Stegostoma tigrinum: one gene and its partners. The protein of the gene in region 1 interacts with the protein of each later gene in a biochemical or structural test. Links are inferred from orthologs where the notes say so. Each region holds a gene or a part of one and is shown in the gene's direction. Other genes may lie near its edges.

The links. The genes of interacting proteins can lie anywhere in the genome.
Region 2: the proteins of mtor (region 1) and stat3 form a complex in vitro, tested with the Homo sapiens proteins (2 studies listed by BioGRID, with this or other methods). The link is inferred for Stegostoma tigrinum from reciprocal best matches to the Homo sapiens genes MTOR and STAT3.
Region 3: of the proteins of mtor (region 1) and repressor of RNA polymerase III transcription MAF1 homolog, one has a biochemical effect on the other in vitro, tested with the Homo sapiens proteins (2 studies listed by BioGRID and IntAct). The link is inferred for Stegostoma tigrinum from reciprocal best matches to the Homo sapiens genes MTOR and MAF1.

Annotation. Positions count from the first base shown.
Region 1 is NC_081381.1:39,046,241-39,053,351, forward strand, and holds the start of mtor (serine/threonine-protein kinase mTOR), read left to right. Parts: upstream 1-4,004; 5' UTR 4,005-4,104; intron 4,105-7,111. Other genes in the region: ubiad1 (ubiA prenyltransferase domain-containing protein 1), read right to left, coding at 3,189-3,696. UniProt on the Homo sapiens protein: Serine/threonine protein kinase which is a central regulator of cellular metabolism, growth and survival in response to hormones, growth factors, nutrients, energy and stress signals.
Region 2 is NC_081384.1:14,624,560-14,631,683, reverse strand, and holds the start of stat3 (signal transducer and activator of transcription 3), read left to right. Parts: upstream 1-4,016; 5' UTR 4,017-4,272; intron 4,273-6,194; 5' UTR 6,195-6,260; intron 6,261-7,124. UniProt on the Homo sapiens protein: Signal transducer and transcription activator that mediates cellular responses to interleukins, KITLG/SCF, LEP and other growth factors. Once activated, recruits coactivators, such as NCOA1 or MED1, to the promoter region of the target gene.
Region 3 is NC_081355.1:159,835,052-159,842,648, forward strand, and holds the start of repressor of RNA polymerase III transcription MAF1 homolog, read left to right. Parts: upstream 1-4,489; 5' UTR 4,490-4,924; intron 4,925-7,597. UniProt on the Homo sapiens protein: Plays a role in the repression of RNA polymerase III-mediated transcription in response to changing nutritional, environmental and cellular stress conditions to balance the production of highly abundant tRNAs, 5S rRNA, and other small non-coding RNAs with cell growth and maintenance.

The DNA of each region.
Region 1 (7,111 bases):
GGGGGGGGGGGGGGGGGGGGAGAGAGAGCTGGGCTGGTTGTGTGGTGCAGTGGGGGGAGGGGACGAACTGGGCTGGTTTAGGGATGCAGTAGGGGAAGGGGAGATTTTGAAACTGGTGAAGTCCACATTGATACCATATGGCTGCAGGGTTCCCAGGCGGAATATGAGTTGCTGTTCCTGCAACCTTCGGGTGGCATCATTGTGGCACTGCAGGAGGCCCATGATGGACATGTCATCTCGAGAATGGGAGGGGGAGTGGAAATGGTTTGCGACTGGGAGGTGCAGTTGTTTGTTGCGAACTGAGCGGAGGTGTTCTGCAAAGCGGTCCCCAAGCCTCCGCTTGGTTTCCCCAATGTAGAGGAAGCCGCACAGGGTACAGTGGATGCAGTATACCACATTGGCAGATGTGCAGGTGAACCTCTGCTTAATGTGGAATGTCATCTTGGGGCCTGGGATAGGGGTGAGGGAGGAGGTGTGGGGGCAAGTGTAGCATTTCCTGCGGTTGCAGGGGAAGGTGCCGGGTGTGGTGGGGTTGGAGGGCAGTGTGGAGCGAACAAGGGAGTCACGGAGAGAGTGGTCTCTCCGGAAAGCAGACAGGGGTGGGGATGGAAAAGTGTCTTGGGTGGTGGGGTCGGATTGTAAAATGGCGGAAGTGTCGGAGGATGATGCGTTGTATCCGGAGGTTGGTAGGGTGGTGTGTGAGAACGAAGGGGATCCTCTTAGGGCGGTTGTGGCGGGGGCGGGGTGTGAGGGATGTGTTGCGGGAAATACGGGAGACGCGGTCAAGGGTGTTCTCGATGACTGTGGGGGGAAGTTGCGGTCCTTAAAGAACTTGGACATCTGGGATGTGCGGGAGTGGAATGTCTTATCGTGGGAGCAGATGCGGCGGAGGCGGAGGAATTGGGAATAGGGGATGGAATTTTTGCAGGAGGGTGGGTGGGAGGAGGTGTATTCTAGGTAGCTGTGGGAGTCGGTGGGCTTGAAATGGACATCAGTTACAAGCTGGTTGCCTGAGATGGAGACAGAGGTCCAGGAAGGTGAGGGATGTGCTGGAGATGGCCCAGTTGAACTGAAGATTGGGGTGGAAGGTGTTGGTGAAGTGGATGAACTGTTCGAGCTCCTCTGGGGAGCAAGAGGCGGCGCCGATACAGTCATCAATGTACCGGAGGAAGAGGTGGGGTTTGGGGCCTGTGTAGGTGCGGAAGAGGGACTGTTCCACATAACCTACAAAGAGGCAGGCATAGCTGGGGCCCATGGCCACCCCCTTAGTCTGTAGGAAGTGGGAGGAGTCAAAAGAGAAGTTGTTGAGTGTGAGGACGAGTTCAGCTAGGCGGATGAGAGTGTCAGTGGAGGGGGACTGGTCGAGCCTGCAGGACAGGAAGAAGCGGAGGGCCTTGAGGCCATCTCCATGCGGAATGCAGGTGTACAGGGACTGGACGTCCATGGTGAATATGAGGTGTTGGGGGCCAGGGAATTGGAAGTCCTGGAGGAGGTGGAGGGCGTGGGTGGTGTCACGGACGTAGGTGGGGAGTTCCTGGACCAAAGGGGAGAAAATGGAGTCCAGATAGGTGGAGATGAATTCGGTGGGGCAGGAGCAGGCTGAGACGATGGGTCGACCAGGGCAGGCAGGTTTGTGGATTTTGGGAAGGAGATAGAAACAGGCCGTGCGGGGTTGGGGAACAATGAGGTTGGAGGCTGTGGGTGGGAGGTCCCCTGAGGTGATGAGGTCGTGAATGGTGTTGGAGATGATGGTTTGGTGCTCGGGTGTGGGGTCATGATCGAGGGGGCGGTAGGAGATGTCATTATTACTACTTTCCAGTTCATGAAAAGGTGTCATTATTACTACTTTCCAGTTCATGAAAATTTCTGCTGTTTGCTCTTCTACCTCCTTTGGTCTGGTGCCTAGTATATACACTTGGCAGCAAGCCGTGCCTCAATTCTATGAAAAGACTATCCTAAATCCATGTGCGTCATGCCTTTCTAGAGAGTGAAATAATTTGTTTGATCAATACTGCCACCTCCCTCTTGTCTTTTTTCTTATTCTATTTTTCAGAATACCTCTTAGCCCAGAATTTGAAGTTTTCAAGCCTCTCCTCCTTTGAATCAGGTATGTTACTCTCAGCTTACTATGGGATGTGAGACAATTTCTCTTACAATTAAATGTAGAAAAATGTGTTATTATGCAGAATTTGCCTTTTAATCACAAGAATAATTACAGAAAAAAAGGCAATTGTCAGTTAAACTACGAGATAGAAATTGGTCATTCTTAACAATAGACATATTTGAGCCATTCTGCATCTCATTTCCTTCTGTGGCAATAGGTAACAAAGTCAAACTAGGGAAGTTACAAATGAAAACAAGCAAAGGAGACAGCAACATTATTTGCCAATCACTATTTCTTTTGAAATAAAAATAATTCAGCTCTGATGAAAATTGTCTCTCTCTCACATTCATACTGATTTACCCACACAGTTTCAGATTTCCAAAATTCATATTTTTAAAAACACATCAAGTTAATACATGTGGTTTTCAGATAGCTTATTAGGCATCTAGGCATGAACAGAAACCAGCCGTATCACTTTCAAAACTATTTTTCCAAAACAGCAAGCAGCAAAAGTGAGTTAATAGAAATGGATGGATAGAGGATAGAGGGGTCTTTTCCCTACTGTTGGGGAGTTCAAAACTAGAGGGCGTAGATTTAAGGTGATAGGGGAAAGAGTTAAGAGTACCTAAGGCATAACTTTTTCACGCAGAGTGGTGCGGAGTTACCAGTGCAAGTAGAGAAAGCAGGTACAATTACAACATTTAAAAGGCATCTGGATGGGTGTGTGAGTAAGAGTTTAGAGGGATATGAGCTAAATGCTGGCAAATAGGACTAAATCAGATTGAGATGTTTGGTTGACGCAACACAAGTTGGACCGAAGGATCTGTTTTTGTTCTGCATGACTCTATAACAAAACAACACAACGACAAAATATTACAATTAACAACTGCTCATGCTGGAAATCTGAGACAAAAAGAGAAATTGCCAGAGCAATTCAACAAGTCTCGTAGTATTTGCGGAGCGAAAACAGAGTTATCTCTTCGAGCCTGGCGATTCTTCTTCAGAGCAAAATAAGTGAATCGTCTCCAGCTAAAGGTCTAAACTGAAATAAGGGAACATCCTGCTTCTTTTCCTTCTTACTTACCTCCCGTGTACAGAAAAGAGCTGGATAGGCCACCGAAAAAGATCAGAGCTAAGTGCTCAAGTTTGAGTTTGCACAAAAAGTAGAGGGAACAGGCGCAGAGGCAGCCCAGAGTGTAGAGGCAGGCTCCGAACCGCACCACGTCCTGTGGCTCTAGGATCCGGTCCACCAGGGTCCGGTCGTCGCTCTTCTTATGATCGATGCCCCTGCTGAAGTCGTAATAAGTGTTCACTAGGTTACCGGCTGCGTGTACGGCCAGCACGGCCAAGGCAGCCAGTAGGGAAATGGTCAGATCGAGCTCGCCCAGATTCTTGTAAGCCAGGGCCGTACCCAGGGCAACAGGGGTAAGCGAGGCGCTGAAGCTCCAGGGCCGCAGTGCAAGCACATACGCGGCGCACTTCTGCTTCAAGCTCCTGCCGAGACCCTGCACCACTTCCCTGTCCACAGCGGGGATCTGCATTCTCGACTCGGCGTCCACTTCCATCTGCTTAGCCTCCCCATTCTCTTTCATCCTCGGCCCGTCTCACCTACTCTCCAGTAATCACCGGCTGACAACCGCCATCTGCCAACAAGCCCACATCGCAGGAAAGTCACGACCTCAAACCGACATGCTACACATGCGCAAATGCTCAACCGTCTGGAGAGTGGGAGGAGACCGGTCCGCGCGACTGTAACGGAATTCCTCGCGCACACCCACATGCGCATTGATGACTGCGACTCGCTTTCACTAACGTCATGGTGAGCCGCCCTCCAGCACATGGTAGCGCACCTGATTGGTTCACACAGATGTCAATCACCTGCGCGCTGTGCCTGAAGATCATTTTATTTCCTTTCAATATGGCAGCTTATATGGAGTAGAATTGTCAATTTACTTTGAAGTGAAGAATTTATGCTTTATTTATTGTAATACAACAAGAGAGTAAGTATACTTGGATGGTTATCCGTTATGATTATTTAAGTGTAAAATTCCAAGCGGCTAGGTTATAAAAATATCTTTCGGTGCTATTTGTAAGTTTTCTGGTGTATGTTCCAGAATTGAAGTTTGATAGATTTTGGGTTTATTATCATTTATAATTCATTGTCAGACAGTATCTCTAACTGATGAGCAAAGAAACGCATTTCAGAAAAAAAACTCCAGCATTTAGACAGAACGTAACACCCCAACAAGCAGCCTGATTGCAAAAACAGAAAATGCTAGAAAAAGCTCAGCAGATCTGGCAGCATCGGTGGAGAGAAATCAGACCCAGTGTTTCGGATCGAGTGATCCTTCTTCGGAACTCGACCCGAAACGTTAACTCTGATTTCTCACCGCAGATGCTGCCAGACCTGCTGAGCTTTTTCAGCAATTTCTATTTTAGTTTCTGATTTACAGCATTCGCAGTTCTTTCGATTTTTAAATAGCTTGGTTACCTATGGTAGATCATCTGTTTCACAGAAATAGAAAACATTACCATAATTCAATAAAGACACGAGGACATTCTGAGTGTTCTATTTACACATTAGAGGCGAAAAATGTGAAAAGGTGTTTTTTTTTTAAACAGGGGTGTATACTATTACTTTTAATGAGTCCGATAGGCCTGTTATTTCAAAATCTTTTATATATTTGGAACATGTCTGTTGGTTGGTTTTAACATTTATTTTCTAAGTTGCAAACTTATCTCTAATAGCTTTTTTGTCCTTATTTAAAGACTGCTTAGCCAAATATAAGACTCTTTTGAGACAAGCTTTCTCTTTGTTAAACTACATTTGTGAGATGAACAAGGTAGAAGGAAAAAAAAATTGAGAGACAGTGGCATTCCTGGCAATATAAATACTTTGAATTGTTGTAACTCTACTTCATGATGCTCCTTTATAGATCCTTACAAGTCCTACTGCAGCAAATTAAAGGATGGTGTTCTTATGAAGTGCCTTGGGACAATTATATTAGACACTGCTTAAAAGTTATTGTTTCTTGACTTTCTGTTGGTCTGTTTGATCTGTGTCACCTTTTGAGGGCTTGATTGGTTAGCGGGTGACATGATCATTTGAGGGGAGGCAGCAACATTGTGTTCATGTCACTGGCCTGGTAATTAAAAAAATGTTGTAAAATCCAGCTGACTGAAACCCCTCACCCACAACGTTCACCTGCAAGAGTGGCTTGGCAGTAGTATGACTGAGTTGGATGGGTCCAAAAGGACGTAGCTGCTAGATTGGGTCTGCAGCAGGCGGTGACGGAACCAACAAGAGGGGGAAAAATGCCTTGACCTTGTGCTTACCAATCTGTCAGCTACAGATGTATTGGCCCGTGACAGTATTGGTAAGAGTGACCACCTCACAGTTCTTTGGGAGGCGAAGTCCTGCGATCATGTTGAGAATAACACATTGTGTGGCACCGCCATTGTGCTAAGTGGGACAGACTTCAAACAGATCTAGCAACTCAAGACTGGGCATTCATTAGGCACTGATAATGGGAACTGCAGATGCTGGAGAATCCAAGATAACAAAGTGTGGAGCTGGATGAACACAACAGGCCAAGCAGCATCTCAGGAGCACAAAAGCTGACGTTTCGGGCCTAGACCCTTCATCAGGGAGGGGGATGGGGAGAGGGAACTGGAAATAAATAGGGAGAGAGGGGAATGCGGACCGAAGATGGAGAGAACACAAGATAGGTAGAGAGGGGAGTATAGGTGAGGAGGTGGGGAGGGGATTGGTCAGTCCAGGAGGCGGGATGAAGTGGTAGGTAGGAAATGGAGGTGCAGCTTGAGGTGGGAGGAAGGGATGGGTGAGAGGAAGAACAGGTTAGGGAAACAGAGACAGGCTGGGCTGGTTTTGGATGCAGTGGGGGGAGGGGATGAGCTGGGCTGGTTTTGGGTGCGAACCCAGCGGAGGTGTTCTGCAAAGCGGTCCCCAAGCCTCCGCTTGGTTTCCCCAATGTAGAGGAAGCCACACCGGGTGCAATGGATACAATATACCACGTTGGCAGATGTGCAGGTGAACATCTGCTTGATATGGAAGGTCATCTTGGGGCCTGGGATAGGGGTGAGGGAGGAGGTGTGGGGGCAAGTGTAGCACTTCCTGCGGTTGCAGGGTAAGGTGCCAAGTGTGGTGGGGTTGGAGGGGAGTGTGGAGCGGACAAAGGAGTCGCGGAGAGAGTGGTCTCTCCGGAAGGCAGATAAGGGTGTGGATGGAAAAATAGCTTGGGTGGTGGGGTCGGATTGCAGATGGCGGAAGTGACGGAGGATGATACGTTGGTTGGTGGGGTGGTATGTGAGAATGAGGGGGATCCTCTGGGCACGGTTGTGGCAGGGGCGGGGTGTGAGGAATGTGTTGCAGGAAATGCGGGAGACGCGGTCAAGGGCGTTCTAAACCACTGAGGGGGGAAAGTTGCAGTCCTTGAAGAACATGACATCTGGGATGTGCGGGAGTGGAATGCCTCATCTTGGGAGCAGATGTGGTGGAGGCGGAGGAATTGGGAATAGGGGATGGAATTTTTGCTGGAGGGTGGGTGGGAGGAGATGTATTCTAGGTAGCTGTGGGAGTCAGTGGGCTTGAAATGGACATCAGTTTCTAGCTGGTTACCTGAGATGGAGACTGAGAGGCCCAGGAAGGTGAGGGATGTGTTGGAGATGGCCCAGGTGAACTTGAGGTTGGGGTAGAAGGTGTTGGTAAAGTGGATGAACTGTTCGAGCTCCTCTGGGGAACAAGAGGCAGCGCCGATACATTCATCAATGTAACGGAGGAAGAGGTGTGGTTTGGGGACCTACACAGGTCAAGCACAAGAGTGCAGAAGATAAAGCTGAAGTATTTGCAGCAATTTTCAGCTAGAAGTTCCGTGTGAGTGATCCATCTCTGCCTCCTGCAGTGGTCCCCACCATCACAGTTTATGAGTCTTCAGCCAATTGGAATCACTCCACATGATATCAATAAATGGCTGGAGGTACTGGATA
Region 2 (7,124 bases), on another chromosome or scaffold:
TCAAATTTTTAGTGTATTCATTCTTTACTTGCATTTTTAATCAATGAGAAAATGGATGCCAATGAAATTTTAAGGAAACTAGCATTTTCTCCTTTAAACTTCTTTCAGTTGATACCAATCGCACCTGTTTAACATTTTGATTAGAGGAGATAGTCTTGATTAATGGAATACAATAATGGCTGGATTTTGTACACTGTAAATCAACTGAGTTTATAAAAACAAATGCTATGAATGCCTCGTATGCATTTAACAGATACTTTTTCTTTTATAATTCTTGTCCTTAAAGGTCTATAAATGATCAAAACCTTCATCAGTGTCTATTTCTAAACATTTGCAACCGAGCCTGTTTTTAATGGGAAGTATCAGTGCCAAAACCAGATGTAATTTTCCCTTTGGTAAGATTGTAACAGTTATATGTATCTCTACTTACATGTTTTCATGATGTAAGTTTGAGTTTCACAGAACTTAGGTAATAATTCAGAGGCCCGAGTTGATCTGGGAATGTGGGTTTAAATTTTACACACAACATGCGCTGACATTAAAATTCAAATGGTTAAAAAATCTAAAATTGGAAGTTTGTCTCAGTTGCTGTCATTTATGAAGCTATCATAAATTTTCATAAAAACCCCATCTGAGGGTCTTATGACCTGTGGTAGTGCCCATATCTCTGGACCAGAAGATCTTAGTTCTAGTTCTACCTGTTCTGGAGGTGAGTTATAACATGTCCATGGAGGTTGATTGAAAAACTTTTATGGTTTGTCTGTCTCCACTTATATGGTCTGGCCTGTGATGGTACCAGACCCACAATAATGTGCTTGTGTCTGAGCTACTCACTGAAATTACCTAGCAAGCCAATCTGTCGTACCAGACTGCAACATGAGCTATGCAACATAGGCATAAAGAATCATAAGTGTGGTGCTTTGTGACCATATTCCAGTCAGTATCAGTCAGTTCTGTCAGTAAAGGAGAGATGAAAAAAATGCTTCTATAATAACTGTACCAGTAAGTGTTTAAAAATGTATTCAGAAGCCTGCTAACTGCCAGTAGGCAGACAATATCAGACGAGTTCACTACAGCTAAACAGTTAAGTTTCGTAATTGTGATTGTTCATTCTAAACTCTGAACCATTTTATATCATATTGTTAAGGTCTCCTGTGACTAACCTAAAACGTAACTACTGATTATACACTGAGGCAGAAATGTCTGTATGCATGCACCCACTAAATTCTTCCAGAGAAGCATTAGCCCCAGTGGGTACTCTAATGATGCAACTGGATCTGGAATTCCAGGAAACTCAAGGATCATAGCCAGCTGTATTTACTAGCAAACACAGCACTAAAAACAAATTGCATCCATGCTGCACCTAAAGAATACTAAAAAGGTCCCAAGATTAAACATTAGAATTGCCAAAAGAAAATATGACAATGAGCCAAAGAAGGCTAAAGGAAACAAATCATAATATCAGAGATAGCAAGAACTGCAGATGGAGTCAGAGACAACAGTGTGGAGCTGGAGGAACACAGCAGGCCAGGCAGCATCAGAGGAGCAGGAAAGTTGACATTTCCGGTTGGGACCCTTCTGCAGAAATGAGGAGGGGGGAGGGAGCTGGGAAATAAATAGGAGGGGTGGGGCTGGGGAAAGTAGATAGGATAGTGATAGTTGAGTAGGGAGTGGTGGGGATTGGTCAGTGAGGTAGGAGAGATGGATAGGTGGAAGAGAAGATGGACAGGTTATGTCAGGTCAAGGGGATAAGATGGAGAGTTGGACTTTGAATGAGGCCGGGTGTGGGGAGATTTTAAAAATGGTGAATTCCATGTTTAGACCATTGGGCTGTAGGCTCCTGAGGCAGAATATGAGGTGTTGCTCTTCCAGTTTGCGGGTGGTGTCATTGTGACGCTGGAAGAGACCCAGGATTGACATGTCCCCAAGGAAGTGGGAGGGTGAGTTAAAATGGTTGCCAACCGTAAGGTATTGACGTTTGTCACGTACAAAACGCGGATGCTCTACGAGATGGTCTCTGAGCCTATGCTTGGTCTCACTGATGTACAGGAGCCCAATCGGGAGCAGCGCATACAGTAGACCAAGTTGAAGGGTGTGCAGGTGAACCACTGTCTGATATGAAAGGTTTGTTTTGGGCCTTGAATGGAGGTGAAGGGGGAGATATGGGGACAGATATAGTACTTGCTGCGGTTGAAGGGAAAAGTGCAGTGGGTGGTGGGGCTAGTGGGAAGTGTAGATTGGATGAGAGAGTCACTGAGAGAGTGGTCCATACGAAAGGTAGATAAGGTGGGAAGGGACACATATCTTGGGTTGTGGGGTTAGATTGTAGGTGGTGGAAATGATGGAGAATGATACTTTGGAGGTTGGTGGGGTGATATGTGAGGACAAGGGAGATTCTGTCTTTAGTTTTTTTGAGGGTGCCTATCACCATCCCACCTACCTTCCCCAGCCTCACCTCTCCACTCAATTTATTTCCTAGCTCCCTTCCCCCTCTCTGTTTCTGAAGAAGGGCCCTGACCCGAAACGTCAACTTTCCTTCTCCACTGATGCTGTCTGGCCTCATAATCTCAAGAGTTGATTTTAATTTTCTATTCAAATTCTGGAAGTTTGGAAAACATGGCAATTGTCAGGAGAAGTCTGACAGAGGTCTGTTGATTGATCTAATCTCTTTCATTGTTGACAGTCCTGCTGTGTTCTGACAATATATCCTGTTTTTATTGTACTATAAGCTACATTTGTGATGAAATATTCCTGCCTGCGGGGAATTTTGAGTGGGTTAATTTACTGGAACAGACGATATTAAGAACTTAATGCAAATATTGCCTCATTGGCTGCTGCAGGAGATTTAAATAACACATAACAACAAATCTCCCCCACAACAATAACCTGTTATTTTGTATCCGAACGTACTAACCTACAGTCCCGGTAAAATGTCCATCTAGCATTGCAAAAATAGACGTATTTATTATTTTTGAGCACTGGATGATAAGGTGTTTAAGAGAAGGATGAACTTCTAAATTCAGCTTGGATTGAGCAAATCACGAAATTGCAATAATTACGAATGGTAGGTATCTTCGCCGTTCCGATATGAGAATGAAATAGTGGGGGCGGGGTGATGCAAAAAGTTTCAACTTCACGAAAGGTCATTGATGACAAACGCGAATTTCTACTTGCCAACAAATGTTGGCTAGCCTCCTAAGCATTTCGTGCACATTTCTCTGATAATTTCTGATTTTCCTTTGCTTTAATGGAAATGCATGGGTACAAAGACAGGTATAGACCTGTTTGCAGATTTTATCCTCACTGCTGCGTATCACAAAAAAACCTTTCTTTGCTTATAAGGGATCATCAGCAATTTTCACATCCTGAGCAAGGACCACCGAACCCGCATGTTAACTAATTTCTCTCCACAGATGTTGCCAGACCTGCTGAGATTTACGAGCAATTTGTTTTTTTTATTTCCCATCCTGGGTCCTAACTTAGCAGTGTAATAATTCTATTCATGCAAAGGAAATTGAGACAATATTGTTAGTTTTAGTTTCAAAAGCCCATTATAATTTCAGCAATCATAATGTAGTTTTTCAAAGTGATGAGAAATATGCAAAATATTGCATTAAACCACAAGCAATTGCCTGCTTTCCTTTTTTTAAGCGTGGAGGGGAAATAAAAGGTTTAGTCATTTGATTGACAGCAAAACTCCCATCAATTTGGGCTCTGGCACTGGCTCGCAAATGTGAAGACGTCATCGCTGCCAGGAACTCAGATGACTTCGCAGCGCCGGCTGTTCCACGGAGCGCTCTATCCTCCCACCGATCAGCGCTTCCGGTGCCACGCGATTCTACAGGCGCGTGCGTGAATCCGGAGGGAGGGAGGCAGCGGGCGGCACTGCCGTGCGGGGGGCGTGGTACACCTCAACAGAACTTGCCGCCCCCTTCCTCGCTCCGATTGGTCGAAACCAAGCGGGAGGCGGGATGTCCCAGGAAACAGGCCGTCCGTTGATTCGTCGAGCAGGCTGTCATTCGTGGTCAGCACCGTCGGTTGTAGAGCTCCTGAAGGAGGGGGAGGGGATCACTTTTTAAAAAAAATCTTTTCGGCCGAAGTGCGTCAAGAAAAATCATCGAATCGACAGGTTTTTTTTGACATTGTATTTGAAGTAAAAAGTGGATCAAAGATCGCCGTGTTCGTGGCGTTGACGGAATTAAGAATGTCCCAGCCGTAGGTCGTGGTGTCAGAAAGTTGGGGTTGTCAGTCTGGAAACTTTTATTGCCGCAGGTACAGTATGTCTTGTATTCCTTTTTATTTGTAGCAGGCCTAGACACCCCGTCAACAAAATGCCAAGCTGAAACTTGCAGCAAGTCTTGAGTTACCAAGTAATTTAACAGGTGGAAATAAAACGAAGCATTTTGACAAGAGGGGGTTTGGGCCCGAAATGTTGACTTTCCTGCTTGTCTGATGCTGTTTGACGTGCTGTGTTTTCCCAGCCTCACACCAAGAGACAAAAGGCACAGTGACAGATGAAATCCTGTGGATTTTTGTCTCCCAGGCTGCTGAATCTTATCCACAATCAGTGTGACACAGGGATGTGGCAGTTACTGATTTCCAAATGGATCATGTATTGAAAGCATACAAGGCTTTTGGGCTTCTGTATTAAGTCTTTTAGAAGAGCAGTCTGTTCCGAGGGAAATGGATTGTTAACGCCTGACTCGTCTTTCTCCACCGCGCTTCCCCCCCCCCCCCCCCCCCAAAAAGGCACAAAATGTAGGAGATAGCACTTATTAACTGAGCTGTTGTTCTTCAGCGGCCGCTAACAGGAAGTGGGATGGCTGTGTTAAAGGGAAGAGTTCTGGACGCATGATTAATGTATTTATCAGTTTCTGTTGAAGGTTTAGTGCTCAACTAGCATTTTGTCACAGAATAGTGCATTTACTTTACATTTGCACGCAATAAGTACAATGTAGCAGCAATTAATCTTTGCAAATATTGTATGTTGGCTTGTAACCCTTTAACAAAGGATTATTTATGGAAACTGCGTTGTGCCATGTTTTAAATCCAAACTTGACAGTAGACCATTCTATTTACTTATGCAATTTTGATTCGGCATGTGGAGTTTTTTTTGCATTTCCATGTTGTTGATTAGCTACATCTAATTTGAATGAAACGTTAACCAGATTTAATCACAATCGATGTGGTTTATCATTGAAAAGTTTTACATAAAGGAAATAAACAAGTAAATCTGGAGATGCCTTATGACAAGGGTGGGCTGTTTGCTGACAGTGTGATGAAACAGTTCTTAACTGGGGAGACATGATGCATGCTGTTTATTGGTTGAACTGCAATGTTTTTACATTTAATTTGTTGAACTTAGATTTTCCCAAATCATTATGTATATTCAAAACAATACTAAAATGGTGGAGAACTCTGGTAACCCTATGTCTTCCCCATGATGCAGTCAGTAGCTATTTTAATTTTGGGTATTTCAATACCTGTTCTGTATTGCAATGTGGAACCAACTCTGCCACTTGTGGTTATAATAAACGATTGAACATTATTTCAGGTTTGATCATTTTGACACAAGACAATGCTGCTAGGGTTTGTTTCAGTTCTCAGCAAAATCACAATATTACTCACTTACTGATGTTTTAGTTTCTATTAGTGATACAACAAGTGCCAGACAACTCTACATGTTAGCCTCTCATAACCCTGTAAATGGATTGTTCCAAAGTCAATGCTGTGTTTGGCATCAGGAATTTTTAATTCCTGGAATATTAAGTGAAAATTCATTTTGTTTTTGAGAATGGAGAAAATATTGGCCCAGATCAAGTTAAATCTGGTGCTGTATTCAGTTGGACTAAACAATACCTTTTAAAGATAACATAATGCTTCAAATCGTATCAACAATTATTTATGAAAATGTCATGCATATTTTGTTTTTCTTGAGTCATCATTTCTTTCTGCGCACAACATACATTTTTGGGGGAAAAAAATCAGGAACACATTTTCCCTGCCTTTTAACTTTGAATTTATGTTGTCTTACTCCAGTAATTGACTCCTTTTCTGTTTTCTCTCCCTTTGATCACTTTTCTGCCGAGTGATTTTGTGACTATTCTTTATTCATTATGTTTTTAAAATTTATCCACTTACGTTGTTCACTATCAGTTCGTTATATATCTGAGTTATTTCTTTCTGCCTTTCAGTGTTAAACTGTGGTAAAGCTGCATCGAAAAAATAGAAAAATTCTGCATGTCAGCTGAAACAATCAGGTAAACTAATGTACTTTATTACTGTACCATCCCATCATGGATGTTTTTCTCAGTTCCTAGCGCTAAATATTACAAATGGCTTCAAAGTTATGTCTCTTTTAAGATGCATTAAGATTATTACTAAAAACATCATGAATTGTGTACTTTTTATATTGTAAATTTAAGAATTTGGAAAATAGTTTTGTTTGAAAGGAGGAAGTACAGTTCATAATTGTGAATTTTAAGACTGTTATGTGGGCAATCCTGGCTGAATGTAACTTCAGTTTTCCCAGATTTTAAAGCTGAATTTTAAGTAAACTGATTTTGAAACCAGAAGCAGAAGATGTAATATTTTAATTGCTTTACAAGAATGAGGAAGGATACTGCATTTTAGAGGTTATGCATTGATAGTGATTTGAAAGACCAAACTTGTTACAGTACCTTGTGAAGAGGAACATCATTGTATTTTCCAGTTCTTTAGAAAGGGGAAAAATAATTTTCTTGGTCAAATGTTTATTTTCTTACTCGTAACATCAATTGTAGTGAGATACATCACCTGAGCATAGTTTAAAAGCTGCAACTGTTTCAAAATACATAAAAAGTTGTGCATATGAAGGCTTGTTTGTTTCAAAATATCGTGATGGAAGTCTTTTTCATATGTAAATTCAAATTATTTTAGAACTTGGATTTTGAAACAAGTGGAAAGCTGGAACTGTGAATTTAAAAACAAATCAGTGTGAGAGAGTTCCTGGAGTGCAAATGAGAATTTGTTTGCATTGAGAGAGTTTTAGCAGCTGTCAGAGTACATGGGGTTGCTTTCAGCCAGAAGGATTAGTAATTGGGTTTTCTTTCACATACTGGGAGAATACACACAGTTTGAAAAGC
Region 3 (7,597 bases), on another chromosome or scaffold:
GATAATTGATGACAATGCAAGGTGCACTAAAGAAACTTTTGATATCTCCTTCTAAACCCGCAACCTGTAACACTAAGAGGTGTAAAGGCAGCAGATGCTTGCTCTATTCTGATCTGGAAATATATCACTGTTCCTTCAGATTCACTGGGTCAAAATCCTGGAACTCACTTCCAAACAACATGGTGGTCACACCCCAAATTCCGGCAACAGTCAGGACTGCAGCTTCCCAATTCCCTGCCAAGGGTAAATAGGGATGGGGGTCAAATTAGGATTGCCTAAACAGCAGTGCTTGTGATCCATGAAAGAATAAAGTTTAAGCAGTTAGCTTTCACAAGTATATCATGATAAAGTCAATATTGTGTCATCATTGTTGAATCCCTACAGTGTGGAAACAGGCCTTTCACGCCATCAAATCCAAATCCACCCTTGGAGCATTCCCGTATAACCCACCCAATCTACACATCCCTGAACACGACGGGCAATTTAGCATTGCTGATCCACCTAGCCTGCACATCTTTGGAATGTGGGAGGAAACCCGCGCAGACACGGGGAGAATGTGCAAACTCCACACTGTCGCCCGAGGATGGAATCGAACCCGGGTCCCTGGCGCTGTGAGGCAGCAGTGCTAAACACTGAGCCGCCGTGCCGTCCATGTCATATTAGTGGAGAGAAAGAAATTTGTACGGATGTAGGAAGTTGATTTATTTTTCAGATTTTAACAAGCATGTTTTGAACCTGTTAAACATCAAGACTGTTTCAGTTCTCGAAACATGGAAAATAGGTTATTCAACCCTTCGAGCCTCATCCGCCATTCGTTACAACCATGACTGATCATCCAACTCAGCACCCTCTGCCTGCTTTCTCCTCATACACTTCGATCCCTTTACCCAAAGAACTGAATCTTGCCCTTTTTTGAAAATGTGATATGGAAGTGTTGGTGGATAAGGTCAGAAATCACACAACACCAGGTTATAGTCCAACCGGTTTATTTATAATTTCTTGAAAACATACAATGCTTTGGCCTCAACCACTGGCTATTGCTGTGAATTCCTCGGGCTCACCATTTTTTTGGGTGAAAAAATATTTCCGTGTCTCAGTCCTAAATGGCCTATCCCATATCCTAAGACCGTGATCTCTGGTTCTTCATTCCCGAGTTACTGGAAATATCCTTCCTGCATTTACCCTGTCTAATCCTGTTACACATTCCTCTTCATTGCCCGCTGCACCTGCTTAGTTTCATTGGCAGGTGTACAATGACATCAAGGTCTTGTTGCACACTCCCCTTTTTACGATCTACCACCATTCAGATAATAATCTACCTGTCTGTTTTTTTCCTACCAAAGTGGATAACCTGATGTTTATCCATATTACACTACATGTTTCATGTGTTTACTCACTCACTCAACTTGGGCAAATCACACTGAAGCATTTCTACATCCTCCTTACAAGATCACTCTCACACCTAACTTTGCATTCATCTGCAAACTTGGAGACATTACATTTAGTTCCCTCAACTAAAGCATTAATATATACTGTGAACAGCTGGGATCTAACCACTGATCCTGCAGTGTTTCAATAGTTTCAGAGATGATGGGAACTGCAGATGCTGGAGAATCCAAGATAATAAAGTGTGAGGCTGGATGAACGCAGCAGGCCAAGCAGGGTCTCAGGAGCACAAAAGCTGACATTTCGGGCCTAGACCCTTCAGCTTTTGTGCTCCTGAGATGCTGCTTGGCCTGCTGTGTTCATCCAGCCTCACATTTTATTATCTTGTGTTTCAATAGTTACTGACTGTGACTTGGAAAAAGTCCCATTTATCCCTGTTCTTTGTTTCTGGTCTGCCTACCTGTTCTCTATGTATGTCAGTACACTACCTCAATGTGGTTTAATTTTGCATGCTAATCTCCTACGTAGGATCTTATTGAGTGCCTCCTGGAACTCAAATGTAACTACACCCACTGACTCCCTCTTATCAACTTTACTTGTTACATCCTTGAAGTTTTGCAGTCAAACACGATTCTCTTTCATAAATGAATGCTGACTCTGTCCAAGATAACAAAGTGTGGAGCTGGATGAACACAGCAGGCCAAGCAGCATCTCAGGAGCACAAAAGCTGATGAAGGGTCTAGGCCCGAAACGTCAGCTTTTGTGCTCCTGAGATGCTGCTTGGCTGCTGTGTTCATCCAGCTCCACACTTTGTTATCTTGGATTCTCCAGCATCTGCAGTTCCCACTATCGCTGACTCTGTCCAATCCTGTCACTGTTTTCAAACTCCCGTGTTATTAAATCTTTGATAATGGACTCGAGCATTTTCCCCATGAACAATGTCAGGTAACCAGGATATAATAAAAACAGCAAATGCTAGGAAAAGAGATAATGGGAACTGCAGATGCTGGAGAATCCGAGATAGCAAAGTGTGGAGTTGGATTAACTCAGCAGGCCCAGCAGCATCTTAGGAGCAGGAAAACTGACATTTCGAGTCTAGACTCTTAGGCCCGAAATGTCAGCTTTCCTGCTCCTAAGATGCTGCTGGGCCTGCTGAGTTCATCCAGCTCCACACCTTGTTATCTCAAATGCGAGGAAAAACCCAGCAGGTCTGGCAGCATCTAGAGATCCATTGATCCTTCTTCAGAACTGTCCCGAAACACCAACTCTGCTTTCTCTTCACGGATTCTTCCAGTCCAGCTCCACACTTTGTTATCTTGGAAGCTTTAGTGCTCCCAAGATGCTGCCTGGCCTGCTGTGTTCATCCAGCTCCACACTTCGTTATCTCGGATTCTCCAGCATCTGCAGTTCCCATCATCTCTGCTTCCAGCCTTGCTGAGATTTTCCAATAAGCCCTGGTTTTGTTTCTGATTTTCAGAAGTTGCAGCTCGTTTGAGCTTTTTTTCATAATGAGCCCATGAATGAATAAAGAAAAAAAAACTTTGGTGTTTCTCAGCTCTACCTGTGCAGATTCCACTTCACCATGCGAAAAGCCTTCCTCACCATTGTGATAAGCCTCTTTAACAAACAAAGCTACCCTGCATTCTCATACTCTTTGTCCATCCTTCCTTTAAACGGAAAATCTCCCAGTTCCCATCCCTTAGCAGCGTGTAGCCACAGCTCTGTAACCCCAACACTATCATATCCATTGACATCCATTTGCATGATTAATTCACTCACTTTGATGCAAATGCTCCTTACATTAAGACACAATGCCTTAAGGCTTGTCCTTTTAATATTCTTAGTCCTATTCTCACATTACTTTGCATGGTGGCTCTGTTTGATTCATGCCCTTGAATTCTCCGCCTATCATTTCCTCTATTTTTGCCCCTCACTTCCTTCTCTTCTGTCTCCCTCTATAGGTTCCCATCCCCCCTTGCATTTCAGATTAAACTCTCCCAAACAGCTTGAGTAAATACTCCATTGAGGACATCGATTCTGGTCCTGCCTAGATGCAATCTATCTAACTTGTACAGCATCTACCTCCCCCAGAGCTGGGTCCAATGTCCCAAAAAACTGAAATCCTGCCTCTTGCACCATTTCTTCATTTGCATATCAGCTATTTCTACTCTGAATAGCATGTAGCACTGGAGCACAAGGTAGTTTACTCCTCCTGTTTCTAGTATGTTCTTAATGAATGGATGAGCAGGTTTGAAGGGCAGAGATTTTTAAAAATTCGTTCATGGAATGTGCACGTCGCTGGTGAGGCCAACATTTATTGCCCACCCCTAACTGAAGTGTCAGACACATTGGGTCTGGCATCATTTTCTGGTCACAACAGGCAACTTCTTTCTCTAATACTTAAGTGAATAAGATGAAGGGTCTAGACCTGAAACATCAGCCTCCCTGCTCCTCTGATGCTGCTTGGTCTGCTGTGTTCATCCAGCTCCACACCTTGTAATCTCAGATTCTCCAGCATCTGCAGTTCTTACTATCTCATTGAATAAAATGGGGTTTTTTCAACAATCAATACGGGTCATGATGAGATTTTTACTTCCAGATTTTATTGTACTTAATCTCGACCATCTACCATGGCATTACTGGATTTCTGAATTAACAGTCTGGCGATAATACCACCAGGCTAACGTCTACTCCTCCTTCTTATTGAACAGAGAATAGCTTCGAAGGGCAGAGTGGCCTCCTGTTGGTCCTTTGTTTGTTAAAATTTCCCTGCCCTATTAGGATACAGATTACTGACGGCACTTCCAGTCAATCAGCAGCGGAGAACCCATGTCCGTCAATGAGGGGTGGGGCGGGACCCGGGGCCGACGGCCAATGGGTTCGTCGGATTCTCTAAACGTGTTAATGAAGGGCGTGGCTAACGGTCACGGCGCGGGCGGCGATTCAAAGGTGCGGCTCCAACGTTCGCCCGGCCCCCCCTCTACGACTGACTGCGCCGGTCACCAATAGAAATAGGCAAAGTATTTACTGACGTGAATATCACCCAATCCCCTTGTGGCCGGTGGGCGGATCCCCGCCCCATAAGACCAATAGACGAGGAGATCAGCCGTCGGTAGGGGAGAGGAGCTGCCTTTAAAAGGCGCGGACGGTTGTTTTGGGTTTAAAGCGGCCGCTCGTCTAGGGGAGGGTCGTTCGATTGTGTCTGTAACGTATATATTTTCTTTACCCGGCGGGAGTACGGTTATTAAGAGTCGGTCTCGGGTTCACTGATCGTGCGTGCGGAAGCTCGGGCTGTGATGGTTCCCCAGGCCGCTCCCGGTCCCCGCTGCCCGGCCTCTTCATGCCGCCGTGCCCCGCGATCGCTCGCCTTCCATACGCGGCGTTTCCTCACCTCGAGAGCGGCGGCCACTGCCTTAGACACCAGTAACAGCAGCAACAGAGAATCCGTGTTTAGTCGGCCCGTCTCCGTTTGAAGCGGCAGAGAAAGAGAGGCCTCCGCATCCCGGACCGGACACACCGAGCTGTCAGGGTCCGCCAGGTAAGGCGCACCCCCCGCATCCCCGCACCCGGACTGGAAAGGCCGGGGTCGGACCCGGCACCTCCACTAACCTACTGGTGGTAGTAGCTTGGGGGGGGGTGGGGAAGGGGACATGGGGAAGCTGGTGAACGATTAAGGCAGCGGTGTTCTTGTATCAGGATGTGGGGGTCAGCGTGGGGCTTCGTGGCGATGCAACAATGTTGAAAAGTGGGGGCAAGAATGTTGTGGAATGGTGATGGTGCTGTAGTGGAGGGTGGGGATGTTGTTTGAAAGTGGCTCCAAGTGCCTGGCTTTCCAACGGACTACTCTTTACACTGAGTGGGTAAAACAGTGCCAGTCATTTTGCTGATGCAGAATTGTCCTCATGCAAATGACTCCTGAAAGATATTGGAGTCTGATCTTGGAAAAAGCAAGGAACAAGTCTGCAGCTCTGCCAAGATGCAGAGAATGGACGAGTTAACTATTTCATGAATTACTACTAAGTCATGAGCTGCTGTAGTGTCTAACTCGAAGTCAGTGAAGTCATTAACATGATGCCATTGTTTTGGGTGGATGTTTCTAACTGGAACTAGTAGTGTTGTGGAAAAATGAATGTTTACCCCAAGCTGCAGAAGCTGATTCTAGGCTGGTGGAATGTAGAACACCATTAAACCTAAGTTTCTCAACCCTGTGCCCTCTAAGCAATTGCTGTTGGTGTCTAGGATTAGTACCCAGTAGCTTATTCTGGGCTGCACCAGTGGGACAGTCTATCACACTTGCATCTAGCAAGTCTCTTAATGGTTTTGAAAGTGTGGGCTAGTATCTGGCAACACTGCAACTTCAGTGTTCAGGCTTTCTGAATGCAAGCTTATTTAACATAAGAACTGGATGCTGCAAATGTTAGGAACAAAAACAAAGTTGCTGGAAAAGCTCAGCAGGTCTGGCAGCATCTGTGAAGGAGAAAACCTAATGTTTTAGGTTGGATGACCCTTTATCAAAACTGGCTGGGAAAATGTCTGCAATATGCAGAAAGTAGGAGTAAATGATAGGATAGAGCCCAAAGAGAGAAACAGTTGACAGATGGAGTTGCTAATCAGGTTGGGATCGTGGCTAGTTGTTAATGGGGACTGTTAGTGACTAACAGGGTGTGTAATGGTAGGCTGGGCTGACAACCCCAGGTGTGGGGGCTGGGGGTGCTGGGACATGGGGTGTTTAGGCCCTAAAATTATTGCACTTGGTATTGAGGGCTGTGGGGTCCCCAAGCAGAAAATGAGGGGCTCCTCCAGCTTGTGCTGGTCTTCAGCTAGAACGCCAGGGAGCAAGGTGGTGCATTGCAGTGGCAGGCAACAGGTAGTTCAGGGTCTCTTTTGCAAGCAGAACATACTGCTTCTGTGAAGCAGTTGCCAAGTCTGTGCTTTGTTTTCCCCAGTGTAGAGGAGACCACATTGTGAGCAGTGAATGCAGTCAACTAGATTCTTAAGTACAGGTGAGGTGTTGCTCCACTTGGAAGATATGTTTGGGCTGCTGGATACAAGGGCAGGAGGAGGTAAATGGGCAGGTGTTGCACCTTGCCAGTTACAGGGGAGGTGTTGAGGGTGAAGGAGGTATGGACCAGGGTGTCCTGGAGGGAACAGTCCCTGCAGGTGGTGGACAAGGGTAATGTTGGGGGGTGGTGTCTTGCTGGAGGTGGTGGAAATGGTGTCTGACAGTCTTCTGGATTTGTATGCTGGTAGGTGAGGATAAGAGGGACCCTATCCCTGTAGTGGGAGGGAAGAAGGGGTGAGGACAGATGTGGGAGGTGTTGGACCCAATTGAGCTCCATGTCAACAATGGAGCAGTGGGATCCTTGTTGAGGAAGGTGGACACCTGGAGGCTCTCGTCAAAGCTGGCCTTATCTGAACATGACAGTGGAACTGACAGAATGTGATGGTGTCTCAACAGGAAGTTGAGTGAGGATGTATAGTATAGTCCAGGTAGCTGTTGGAGTCGGTGGGTTTGTAATGTAGTATTTAGCATCTTGCCAAACAGCAGTGTCCTGTGTAGTAAATAGGCTGTTATAATGCAATGCAATTTGTAAAATTTAGCTGAACCTGCACAATTTTGAGGCTTAACTTGTGTGCTTGCAGAATTTCTACAGTATAGAAATGGCCAACGCTTAGTATCTCTCTCAAAAATGTATGCTGTAACCTTGCAGTTATGGTTGGCTAATCTAATCTCCTGGACATGACAAGGTGATTTAGTGTGGTCAGTTGACCTAACCTGCACCTTTGGACTCCATTTAAAAGGAAAAGAGCACCTGATTTAAAAACCAACAGACACCTAGCCTTTGGTGCTGAGGCAAGTGCTAACCACAGTCATGGCTATTTGAGACTTCAGAATTGTTTTAATGAGGAGAAATTAATGTAGCTCCCTTGAGCCTTTATTTTGGTTGTGGAGATAATCTAGCATAATTTGTAGGAACAATAGGGACATAAGAGCAGGAATAGACTGTTCAGTTCTTGAACCTGCACTCGTACTAATCTCAGCATAAGAGGGTGCATTTAGACAAGTGGTGAATTTCCTGAAGTGAACTTGTGGAATTCTCAAACTGGAGGCTGTTTGACATCCCATTTAAATATACCCATTTTTATCAAGGCAGATTGAGTTACTGTTGCTATATCAATAAGCTAGCTCAAGACTGAGTGGTGGCTTCCT